Linked DNA regions of Drosophila melanogaster. The protein of the gene in region 2 interacts with the protein of the main gene of each other region in a pairwise test. Each region holds a gene or a part of one and is shown on either strand. Other genes may lie near its edges.

The links. The genes of interacting proteins can lie anywhere in the genome.
Region 1: the proteins of CG14089 (region 2) and CG11350 interact in a two-hybrid assay, tested with the Drosophila melanogaster proteins (one large-scale study listed by BioGRID).
Region 3: the proteins of CG14089 (region 2) and aus interact in a two-hybrid assay, tested with the Drosophila melanogaster proteins (one large-scale study listed by BioGRID).

Annotation. Positions count from the first base shown.
Region 1 is NT_037436.4:4,480,987-4,485,301, forward strand, and holds CG11350 (uncharacterized protein), read left to right. Parts: upstream 1-1,822; 5' UTR 1,823-1,857; coding exon 1,858-1,860; intron 1,861-1,925; coding exon 1,926-3,293; 3' UTR 3,294-3,384; downstream 3,385-4,315. Other genes in the region: CG7465 (uncharacterized protein), read left to right, coding at 1-389.
Region 2 is NT_037436.4:19,279,554-19,283,152, forward strand, and holds CG14089 (uncharacterized protein), read right to left. Parts: upstream 1,248-3,599; coding exon 573-1,247; 3' UTR 567-572; downstream 1-566. Other genes in the region: CG14086 (uncharacterized protein), read left to right, coding at 1-80, 145-271.
Region 3 is NT_033777.3:21,346,171-21,351,474, forward strand, and holds the start of aus (argus), read right to left. Parts: upstream 3,432-5,304; 5' UTR 2,325-3,431; coding exon 2,226-2,324; intron 1-2,225.

The DNA of each region.
Region 1 (4,315 bases), about 15 Mb from region 2:
AGCTGGCCGATGACGGTTACCGTTACAAGACCCATCGTCGCGTTGTTTACCGCCGCCACCGCCGTGACGTCAACGAGCTCTCCAACGAGTACCTGCCCCCCTTCGCAGCTCCTTCCAACGAGTACCTGGCTCCCGCTGAGACTGCTCCTGAGACCGACTTGGCCGTTGATGGATACCGCTACAAGACCCACAAGCGCGTGGTAACCCGCCGTCACCGTCGTGATGTGAACGAGCTCTCCAACGAGTACTTGCCTCCCGTGCAGTCTGCTCCCTCTGCCGAGTACCTTGCCCCCCAGGAAAACACCGTCGAGGCGGCTCCCGCCCATGTCCTGGCTGATGATGGATACGTCTACAAGACCCACAAGCGCGTTGTGTTGCGCCGCCACTAAATCATCCGATAAAGGCTTCACTAGGTGATCGAATTGTGCTCATTTTTGAGTGCAGACCCTACTATTAGAATACCTCTTTTTCATTCAAATACAATAATACGATAACGAATCCATACATTCAGCTCTTTTTAATTTTATTATGTTGGGTGTACGAGCTGGGTGATAAAAGGTTATATGTATAGAATTGACTGAAGGAGGAATATATTCGGATAAAACATAAATCTTTGCGGATAATATATAAACCAGAGAATAATAAAAAACGACAAAGTTTTTAAACATGTATTAACCTATTTAAAAATAATAATTTAATGTAATAATATAAAAAGGTTTTAGGGCTAGAATATATTCATTATTTCACGATCTAATTATACACATAAGAACGTGGGATTAGAGAAGCAATATACACTTGACACATAATCGAAATTGAAATCTATTTATGCCGAAGCTTCCGCAATCTCATCTTCAAAAAGTTCAAGCCTGCTTAACGCTTTTAGACCATTTACCTACAAAAGTAAGGGTATGTTAACTTTCTTGGATGGTGTGTCTTTTTAATATGCCGTTATTAATTTAATAGGTTTTTATGACCTAAACGCTTATGTAATTTATTAAAATGTTATTTTATAGTGGATATATTATTTATATACGATTTGCAATTAAATATAGAAACGTTTTGTTAGCAGAATCTAGTTCGAGGAATAGAATTAATTACCCCGTTTTATTAATGTTTTCCTTCGACTCTTCATAAAAGGTAATTTTTCCAAAAGTGTATTCAGTTCATTTTGTTCAGGTTTTCTTTCAGCCGGTGATATACAATCGCTTTCGACAGTCACATCTATGTATTGTTTCGGCATTGAGGTCGTGATTTATTTCCGCAATTTGATTGCTTTTTCGGCAGTCATTTCGCTTCTTACCAACTGTTTTTAGCCTTTTCTCCGCTCCGCTATCGAACATCTGCTTTTATTACCCGAAGTCATAGAACCCGATTAGTACCAGTTGATTAAGCCACAATATAATTATCGACAATTAAGCAAATTGAGCTGGGGTGGGTCGGAATTGGGAATCGAAATTGGCACGCGTTTGGTCTGGGAGAAATTGGCAAGTGCGGATAGGGGAACAATGGAACCTGATCTTGGCCACTAAGTATTAACGAAATATACTTAAAATATTAAGTGGCCGTTTGGATGATTTGGCGGTTAGGCCGGGGGTGAAAGGGGGACTCCCAAATCGTGGCTCATGATCTCGCTGGAGTTGAGCAGAGCGCAAAACCCGTTGCAAACCTGCTTGCAAAACTATAATGGATATGTTTTGGCGGTGTCACTAAATACAAATTCATAAATTAAATAGTCAAATGCAAATTTCTCGCCGCAGGCCGGTGATTAGAATCATATAAATAAGCCGCAGAACATTGTCTAAGGCATCACTTCCACTTGCACTCTCCGTTCAACTGGACAGCCGAGCACCCAGCAAAATGGTATTAACCAGGAACGGTGCGCCATTAGGATAATCAGCTAATATGTGCCATTTTCTCCATTGCAGAAATTCTTCTTGTTCTGCGCCTTCATCGCCGCCGTGGCCGCTGATGTCAGCCACCTGCCATCTAGCCAGTACCTGCCCCCCGGCCGTGGAGCAGCATCGGCTCCCGTGGCTTCCTACTCTGCTCCTTCCCAGAGCTACAGCGTAGAGGCCTCGGCCCCAGTTGCCTCCTACTCTGCTCCCGTTGAGTCCAGCTACTCCGTTGCTGCTTCTGCTCCAGCGGTGTCTTATGCTGCTCCAGCTGTGTCCTACGCCGCTCCCGCCCAGAGCTACTCTGCTCCTGCTGCCACCTACACTGCTGCTGCTTCTGCCCCAGCTGTGTCCTACGCCGCTCCTGCCCAAAGCTACTCTGCTCCTGCTGCCACCTACACTGCTGCTGCTTCTGCCCCAGCTGTGTCCTACGCCGCTCCTGCCCAGAGCTACTCTGCTCCTGCTGCCACCTACACTGCTGCTGCTTCTGCCCCAGCTGTGACCTACGCTGCTCCTGCTCAGACCTACACCGCTGCCGCTTCCGCCCCAGCTGTGTCCTACTCCGCTCCCGCTGAGTCTTACGAGACCGCTGCCTCTGAGCCCGCCCACACCTTCTCGGCCAACGATGGATACCGCTACAAGACCCACAAGCGCGTGGTCCTTCGCCGTCATCGTCGTGGCGTGCCCTCCAACGACTACCTGCCCCCCTTCCAGGGAGCCGCTTCTGCCCCAACCAGTGAGTACCTGCCCCCAGCAGCTTCCGCCCCCGCTCCAGTCTACCAGAGCGCTGCCTCTGCCCCAGCTGTGTCCTACGCCGCTCCCGCCCAGACCTATTCCGCACCTGCTGTCTCCTACGCCGAGCCCGCCGAGAGCTACGAAACCGCTGCTTCTGCTCCTGCCCACTCCTTCTCCTCCAACGATGGATACCGCTACAAGACCCACAAGCGTGTGGTGCTCCGCCGTCACCGTCGTGATGTGAGCCACCTGCCTTCCAACGATTACCTGCCTCCAGCAGCCTCTGCCCCAGCTCCAGTGTACTCCGCCCCCGCTCAGAGCTACTCTGCTCCCGCTGCCACCTACACCGCTGCTGCCTCCGCCCCAGCTGTGTCCTACGCCGCACCTGCCCAGAGCTACTCTGCTCCTGCTGCCACCTACACCGCTGCTGCTTCCGCTCCAGCTGTCTCCTACTCTGCTCCCTCTCAGAGCTACTCTGCTCCCGAGTACTACAGCGGTGCCGCTTCCGCCCCAGCTGTCTCCTACTCCGCCCCAGCTGCTTCCTACTCTGCCCCAGCTGAGAGCTACGAGACCGCCGCCTCTGAGCCCGCCCACTCCTTCTCCTCCAACGATGGATACCGCTACAAGACCCAGCGTCGCGTGGTCCTCCGCCGTCACCGTTACTAGAGGCTCCAACGAACCCCCAGCGAACCGAGCCAAATCCTGTTATTTGACTCACGGGTTTCATCTGGGAAACGAAATTAATAAATTCATAAATAAAAAAAATATTGAAAAATACTTCCACTGCCTGATTAATTAATCGACTAACAGGAAACCCCATTGACGGGAGCCCCCTTATTTGCCTAACAATAATATTGCATAATAGAATAAGAAGTTTTGGCCACTAAAGCCAATGATTATCAGGCATTAATACCGAGCTGTCGTCAAGCGGAGACGATACAGCAACTGAAAAAACTAGTTCAAATCGAGATGCGGAAACTCGTTTAATGCTTCGAAATTAATTTTTTGTTCAGCAAGTGCATTGTCATCTGAAGCTTCAAGTTCAAAGTCAACCATAAGAAAATTCGAGGCATACTTTTTGGCCTTTGTAAGATTTATATGGATGTAGTAAGCATATAGTAAGTGTATATTTATGTAGTAAGTCCCTCGCGGCAGACTACAGAGTTAAAAAAAACCCAGTGAATTATGGATCTATTTTGTAAGGCAGACTTATTAAAAAATTTATCTTAGTAATATAAAAAGCCTCAATGTATAGCATTATATCCGTATCACAGAAAGACTTTTGTTATTCCGGCTAAAAAATAGCAGGTTGAATGATTCCAATGCTATCGCGTTACCGAAGTTTGAGCAGAATTATTAATTTCTTGTTGCCCAAATGTACTCTACTTTTCGGCAAGCCAGCACTATAAACTGCGATGTCTAAAAGTATGTGATTCGACCGAATTTTTAGTTTATTCTAGATGGGATCTGCTGTTTCACTCTAAGACTAGACGTCTTACCCTTCGACACACTGAAAGAAAACAGTAAGAACATAACATTCACATTGTCATTTTTAATTCGGCAGCATTGCGTAATCGTTAAAACATAAGTTTTAAAAACATATTTTAATGACTAAGTTCGATTGGAGATTCCGCAGGCAAGATCCCCGGTAAATCATTAATAATAGTTATTAAATAAAATATTACAGT
Region 2 (3,599 bases):
GGACTCCTCAGACTGTGCACGCTGCTCCGATTCAGCGCCTCGAAGGAGGAGGGTCTCCTGCCGCAGTGCGACTTTGAAAAGTGATGCCAGCCAACGAATGTCTTTGTTATTTGTTTCTAATGTCTGTTTGTTCTGCGATGATAGGGTGTCGAGCTTTGTGGATACCATGGAGGATGATTTCGCGGAGATTGGTGCCACGCAAGCGGGATTGGATGAGGAAGCGGAGGAGGAGGGCGACGACCACACCGCCCTAGACGACGATGTTTGCTAATAGTTTAAGCCAGCTTTTCTGCCTAATGTAATGTGAGATTTTAAACGACTTAACAAATGTCTAATAATATACAGTTTGTAAAGAGGTTTCGATTTAAACGCTGAGTGCGTGGTATATTTTTATAGGTAATCGATAAACCCACACTTTGTATGATTTTTGGTGTCATTTATAAACGAAGCCACTCAAAAGTCAAAAAGGACATTCTTCAAAAGAATTTTGAAAGTTCCTTTTAAGTATTGGGTATCTGCTTTTTACCTACAGAAATAATTATCAAAGCTATTTCGTTTTAAATAATGTTATTTTAATTTCGTCTTTTATTGTTTTTTGTGCTAAACGGATTTCTGCGTTCACTAAAGGCCAAAATGAAGGGCTGGTCGTCGAATTCTTCGGTTTTTCTCAGACCAAAAGAACGCTCATTGCCGTAATCATACTCGTCCTCATCATAGTAGTTATAGTAGTGCCTCTGGTGGCCTTTAGGGCCTCCATGTCCATGTGATGGAGGAGGAGGAGGTGGAGGATACGGATACGGTGGATATGAACCTCCGGGATATCCAGGAGGACCCTGAGGACCAGGTTGGCCAGGGATTCCAGGCATCCCGGGGTGGCCCTTATCTCCACGCGGCCCCTTCTCGCCGGGATCACCCTTGGATCCTTTGGGGCCGGGATAGCCCTTCTGCCCCGGCTGTCCCGGTGGACCAGGTGGACCTGGAGGACCGGGCGGACAACCGCATGGCTGTGGCTGAGGATACGGATACGAATAGCTTGGCGGATAGTGTGGCGGATGATAATGTTGATGATCGTGATCCTCCTCTATGATCACTTCCTGTGGCGGGGCTGGAGCGGGACTTCCAGTTTGGAGGGTGATCAGCCGGGGCACTGAGGCATCATCCTTGGCGAAAACTCCCCCAAGAACAGACAGTAGTGCCACCAGCAGAATAGTCCAGTTCGCAGAGAGAACTTCCAGATTCGACGACATGCTGTGAACTAACGAAAATCAGATCGCAGTCACTTCTTTTATGTGGATAAATGCGTTTGAAAAATGGCAACAGAGGAGAATCATTCAAACTCCCGTTAAGATAGCTCATTTGAGATCTATATGTCTTGTCTTACGATCGCATTATATTTGTATCGTATGCTAATTTCTCTTGTTTAATAAACCAAGCCATTTATTTATAAAGTATCTGATTTGCATAATATTCAATGAATGAGTTGAGTTTTTGGGCTGATGAAAGAACTTTCACACCAAATGGATGTCGGACTTTGTGATCGAGCCATGAAAAGTGAATTCTCGTATTCTAGGATAGATCAATTAACAGGTATATGTATATCATTTCTGCGCGTAAAAATAACATAAACTTTTACACAAATTTCATATGGAACCAGAGCAATGACTGGTGGTGACCGAGATGATGATTTTTACATTTAAACGGAAACATTAACCATTTTGAATAACTAATGTGTAATTTGCTAACACCTGAGATACCACCTGTCCGTCCCTGTGAAGCACAAAAGAAAACACTTTCGAGACATGCTAAGAATGTCTGTTCGCAATTTTATTTAACTGTGGCTTCTTTATTATTCTTTTGTAAGTGTAAAGTGGAACTCATGATGACAAGAGCCCCGCCCACATAAACCTCAACAAATTTCTGGTTTTTGGGCAGATCTCATAACACTTTTTGCATACTCACGCTTCAGTCTAAGTCATTTGGATTTGTGGACATTAGTTATGTTCGAGAAGTTTCTGTTTTTGTTAACATATGTATGTAAATAGTTGTAACTTTTAAAGTTCGTTTTATTTGTTGTTTTGCTTTTGTTTTACACATGTTTGCTATGCAATAAACATATTAAATAGTTTCTTTAATTATAAATTTACTTTGTTTAACTATTATTCTCTCTTATTCGTGTTTTCGGTCGGAAAACGTTGAGGTAGCTGCGTTTGCAATTAATTGTTATAAGTAGCTATTCGCTTGTTTATATCCCTGATATAGGCTATTTAAGGTTCTGTTGTGGATAAGAAGAGCTCAAATTGTATTCATTATTATTCAGACAATACATAGATAATTGAAAGAATCAACCGAAAAGGAATAACTAAAGTTTATGTTTATTTTATTTTGTATATATATTTATATAATATTACGATAGATATATTACGCATCAACATATACATAGAAAATATTCAAATCGTTTAAATTAAAATTAAAGCATATAAAAAATCAAACATTAGAAGAATATCAACAATTAAGAGAAACAAAAGTTAAGGCTTGTCTGCTGTGTCTGATGGCTAAAAGGGGTTTTTCCGATCGGGCTACAAATATCATCGGATTGGAGAATATCCTTTTTGACTGCGAATAGTCAAAAGGTAGCAAAAGTAAACTCGAGTTGACTAGATAGTGGATGGTGGTTAGTTATAGTTAACTTTTGACATGGTCTCTGTGCTCGAACGGATCTGCTTTTACCGAACAAAAAGTATTAAAATGGTGCTAAGCTCATATTCAGAACTGTGATTAATGGCAATTAATCTTTTCACAAAACTGATTCATTTAAATCATCATGATACATTATCTGGCAGATACACAATCTTAATAGCCCGATCCAACTGGCAATCGCTTTCGCATGACAAACAAACCTAGGAACAAACCAAATAAAAATTGGGAAAAGTAACTAAAAACAGAAGAAGACATTGAAGAAACTGATCTGAGTTTTAGTTTGTTATCACTTGCTCTTCTTATAACATACGACTAACAACTATCTTTGGGATTCATTCGAACCTTGCTGGCTTTTGTTCTAGTTCGCACTACTCTGGTTTGATTCTTTAGTTTTTTTGTGGCGCTCTTACAGCTCCTCTTGCCCTTCACTAACCCTTCAATCTTTTCCATTCATTCTATAAAAATATATAAACAATGTTTGCCGTCCTTGGAAGGCTAGGGTGGTTCGATTTATCGACGTGCAGGGACTGAAATATTCTTGTGGGAGTTATGTAATTTCTTGACATTTCGTACAATAGTTCTTGTTGTTAATAACAGCTCTTAAGTTCCAAAATATCAAAACTTAATCTGCCTTTGACTGAAAATTTCATTCCAAATTAGTTCCAGTTGTGTTGATACGTTACGTTAAGAATTGCCAAAAAAATACTTAGTTCCTTGTGGATTTTCTAACAAAAAATCCAATCACCCCAATGAAGAGTTAGCCCCACGAAGGTTGGTATTCTGATCTGTGATCTCTGACTGGGCGGTCATATGGGACTGCTTGGATTTGATTTCTTACTGGGACATAGACACCACGTCAAGGCCCGGAAACTTTCCCAGATCTTGGTGTCGTGTCGTTGGAT
Region 3 (5,304 bases), on a different chromosome or scaffold from region 2:
CGCATGGTCCAAAAACCAGATACACCTCCTTGCAATTATCAAATGGACTCTGTACCCTTAGCGGTTGCGTGATGCCCTCTCCTTTTCGGTTAGGTTAATGTGTATGAAATGACTTTATTGGTTTTTCAGGTGGCCTGGTCGTCTGGCCCTGGGTAAATGATGGCCTTGGCTCATGCCACGGTCTATTATGGACACATGTGTCCTGGACTTCTAAGGGTCCTAAGGGTGGGCGTTGGGAGTTAAGTGCGACTTAGATGGGATAATAACACAGGCATATTCTTAACCCCACGTGGGCTTCTATAAGGGGAGCTAAACAATTAAGCAGAACACACTTTGCACTAATTGATCGATAATGCCAGAATTCTTATTTAACTACTCGTTAGGGAAATAATCCAGTCTCCAGTAGTCTATTAGTTTGTTCCAATGCCGCCATTAATTATCAAAAATAACCAAATGTTAAACATATAAATCAGTCAAGTCCCCTATTTTTGACATAAGAAGGCTTTTACAGTAAGACCTTTTTATTCGAGTTAATCGTCAGTCAGGACGGGAAACAGACTCTATTTAAAAGGTAAATACTTTATTGTGTAATTCCAACTCGATCTACACAGCTTATAATATATGCACTTTTGAGTTATCTGGATGCATACAACCCGAATAAAATAATGTTCCGATTCAATGCAGTTATCTTATTTAGATATAATATACCTGAAAATGAGATTAGAAAAGACGCTCTGTTTGCTCGCCGCATTTTATCTCGATGATCAATGTTCAAATGTGCCCAGTTCCTACCCAAGATAATTGGAGCAGATGTTAGTAGTAGGTGTGAGTACATATTTATGACACTTTTATCGTTGCTTTACCCCTGTTTAGGTGACACATCTGCTTTGTCGCAAACCCCAACAGCTACATACCTTTCACAACTTATCGTCCGTTTGTCAACTTTCGCACAAAGCTTCCTGCGAAATACGTAAATCCTTATTCAACCGAATGACTCAGAGGCATTTCTTATCTCGCCCCAGAGCAACGAACTGAGCAATAAATATAAATAGAGAATTTTCACATCGGGCAAACAACTACCCAGCTACCCAACTACCCATTCCAAACCCACACGCACCTCGAGCTGAATTAATCAACAACTCCGGAGTTGCGTCCCGTTCCGTCCCGGAGTAATTCCCCTAATGCAATACATTTCCGCCGTGCTGCGGGCTGCTCAATCGGCATTCTGGTATCTGATATCTGGAAAAGCCATGCATGTAATGTACATCGGCACCAACATGATTTTTATCTAAATGTCGATAGCATAAATATGACGGCTGGTCAGGGAAAAAGGTGCACGGGTGTGGGGCTAGTGCAATTGCAGTGCGCACCTCATTGAACTTTTCAGACAAACACAATTTGTCCGATAAGGAAAAAAAGCGTCTACACGACACCCGCAAAGGGGCGGCCAGCCAAAGGGGGCGGGGCGGTCGAACGGCGCGCGCACTAATGGCCACCATTAATAATTGAAAAACTGAAACAGTCGAGCATGTGAGCAACTGAAGGATGATGGCGCTACGTGGGGGGTGTGCCGAGGGGACGAGCGGAGGGGGACATCGGATGAGGTTGGGTCGCCAGTTTTAGGGGTTGGGGTGACAAAAATCTATAACCAAAAAAGTTATGAATAAGCGAGCGAGTGGAGAGCAACGACGGCGAGTCGGTGCACTGAGAAAAACCCAATCTTAAAGGTCCATACAGAATATTCGCAGATAAGATCTTAAGCACAATAAAATCCAAAGTGAAGTTGTAAAATAATAAATATGACAAGTTATTTTCAGTAAAGTTGTAATAGTGCATAGTATGAAATGCAGTCGCATAAAATATTTAAAAACCAGTAGCCAGAAAGGGGAGATATGAAACGTTGTAAAAATCAAGGAGCTAGCATTTCATGTTGCCTCTTAGAGGAAATTGTAAAGGTCATTAGTAATACTCAAATTAAGTAAATTTCAACGATAAATTTTCACACAAAAAACCTCTTTGGTTTTGAAAAAACTGATACTGAATAAGAAACCATTGAATTGATACAACTGACATAAGGTTAATATTAAAAGATGCAGTTTTCAGGCATCTTATAGATACATTTCAAAAAGAACCGTTAGACACCGCTTGGAGCTTAGGTCCAATTGGAAAAGCCGAATAACCAATGGGGCATATTAGAAATAACCAAATTTTTTGTGTGTACAAACCTGTTCTCTGCTTTTGTTGTTTCTGCTTCTGTTGTTATTGGGGCTGGTGGTGCTGCAGATGTAGTTGTAGTTGTAGCTGTTGTTGTAGTTGTAGTTCATGGCTAGCTGATGAAGCTGCGGTGCTGCAGCGACGCTGACGTCGCGGCGACAATGTTGGAGCTGGCTCTTCTTCTTCACCTTGTGCTGGGGCTCTTCTTCTTGCCGTTCTCCTGGTTTTACCCGTTCTTCTTGTTGTCGTTGTCTTGGGATTAAATTTGGATGAAAATGCAGCAACAGAGGAAATCGCGTGCGGAACGCAGCCAACCAGCATTGGTAAGTGCAAGAATCGCAACCCGTTTTCGGTTTTCCTTTTCGCTGCTCCTCCGTTTCCTTTTTTTTGGGAGTTTCTGCAAGCTGCCCAGTGAATTTTCGTTGAATTTTCCGCTGCAGGGCAGCAGAAAGCGCACGAAGCGAACCGAAACTGAGACTGAAACAGCGATGGTCGTGCAAAATCGGATATTTCCGACGATGGTGCGGCGGGCGGGGGGTGTTAAAATATTGGAGCAAGGTGTTTCCAAACACACAGCTGCGGCGAATTCGCAGCAATTCGCCGAGGTTCTCTGCGCAAAAGCAAAGCGGCGAAGAGATCTGAGCGGCGGCGCTACATTTGTTGTTGTCGCTGCTGCTCACAGCTCCACCACCATTTGCACAGTTATATTACCTCGCTCAAGTCGCCCCTCTCCCTCTCGCCCACTCGCTGTGTCAATCGAATTAAAACGAATGCTCTTCGGCGAATAATTGGGTTTAGATACTTTTCCAGCAGACAAAGTTGTATTTTTTGCACTTCTTATTGATATTAGGCAAAACGCATCGGCCGAATCACACGCACACAAAGCACACACGCGCGCAGCGGTTTTTCAATCTGCAGTACACCAAACAACACACACTATTTCCTAATGCCTGTTCTTATCCCTCTGATTTTCCCAATGAATCGCTGGGCAATTGGCGATTCGAACCGATTTTCACTTGGCTCTTTGTTTTATTTAATTTTCACCGAAACGCTCTCACACGCAGAGACGCTTTTGCTCGTTCGCTGATGCTTCTGCTGCAATACACACCACCTACGAAACGAGCCAAGGGAAATTGTATCTATGGGCTGTGTATCTGTTTCTACGCGGCACGCGCTGCACGTCCGCTCGCTTCGGGTTTTCGAGAGAGAATATAACTTTTTCGATACGGTACGGTAAACGAATTCGCCTCCGAGGGATTGTATCTCACCGCTGCAGTATGACCGCAGCGCAGCACTGCTGCAATCTCACAGATATTTGGCGCGGACTCGAACCATTCATCTTATCTCAGCAAAACGACTGCGATTGGCGCATTCATTTGAAACATTATTCTGCAATTTAAGCATTCATTTTTAATTATTTTTTCTACTTTTGGATATACTACAAGAGCTAAGTAATATATTCGATGCTCAAGCTTCCCGAGGTAGCTGAATACAACTTTTCAAACACAATAGATTTTCAAAATATTGCATTTCAACAATGTAAACATATGTTTTTACTATTAAAAACGCACTAGATACACATTGCAAGGTAAAAATATGGCACCGTAAAAGTTGAACGTCGTTTTATTTATTTTTCTGAAGTAAGAGGCAACTTTTTGTAGCCACTGTCTGAATGCAAACGAATGCGTTCAATAGCAGATTAATATGCCTCACTTAGGGACACATTTCAAGTGGCCCGAAAGCTGAATCAGCTTTCTTGTCATTCCACACTTCGCACTCTTTGCTTGAAACTCGATTTGTATAAACAAGACCCACAAAGTTTACTTAAGAAATTAGCAGGCCCGTCATTGTGTGCGGTATCAATTTGAGAGCTGGCCATGCAACAAAGGGTCGTTGAACCAATAAAGAATGTATCTGTTTATAAAACAGTTTTTCGTGGCCTTGTAAAGCTCCAATTCCCATACTCAATCACTTCATACGGTTTTTATAAAGAATGAAATCCAGTCGAACAAGGAATTTTAAATTCTTTTTACGTAGTATTGACTTGCACGGAATAGGGGATTTTTGAAAAGTAGCATAGATGATAGGTAATGGATCAAAAAAGTTGATTCATTATTGTTATTTAATACCTAAAAGAGAATTTTTGATAGAGTCCCACAAAATACACCTTAGAATTCTAATTTAAAAAAAATACCTGGGAGTATTAAACTAGAAAGTTGCAACTCTGAGACATTAATTCTTATACGCTAAATAAATAATAAACTGTAAAAAAGCTAAAGAAAAATTAGCTTGGGGTGCCTATTGGATACATGGGTATACACCCAAGGACATAACACTAGATGCGCATTTACATACATAGGTATCGCGCTTATTTGCATATAATAAATTGGTTCCTAAAAATGCAAATCCTATTTTATTATTTTAACATACCGTTATCCTTTTAAAACTAAAATAAAAGTTTAAGGCATGCACTTGATAACTTTGTAGCAAGGTCTTAACTAATACACGCGATACCTAAACACATACATGTCATTAGTCTAAACGAACTAAAATAAATTGCTTTACCCTTATATGTAGATAGAGTATAAATAAGATGGGTACATCGAGTTGACTTTGAAGCAGAATGGAGCGGGGTGCATTGGCTAATGCTCGGGATCTTTAGACTTAAGGCTAGAGGACAGTGGTTTCTCCTTTATTTCAGTTTTGGGCTGGTTGAGTGTGTCGTGGTTGTGTTGCTGGTTCTTGATAATCAGCTCCCCAGTCACCGAGCACGTGATAATTCGAGCAGCGCAGCGCATGTATCGATTCCGAGCACAAAGCCAATACGTTTTGGAGCCCCGCGAATTGTTGCGATAATACCTGGAATGGTAAAATTTTATATTATATTATTTATAATATTAATAATACGACAGACTCACTCGTAGCCGCCCATCAGCAGTTTGGGCTTTCCTTTGGTGCCCTTGACAATCATTATACCTCGCTTGCGTATTATATCTATAAGTAAAAGATCAAATGAATGTTAGGTAAAGATTTACAACTTTAGGGGTATTTAATAGTCTACATATCTTACACGCACTTTTATTTCTATTT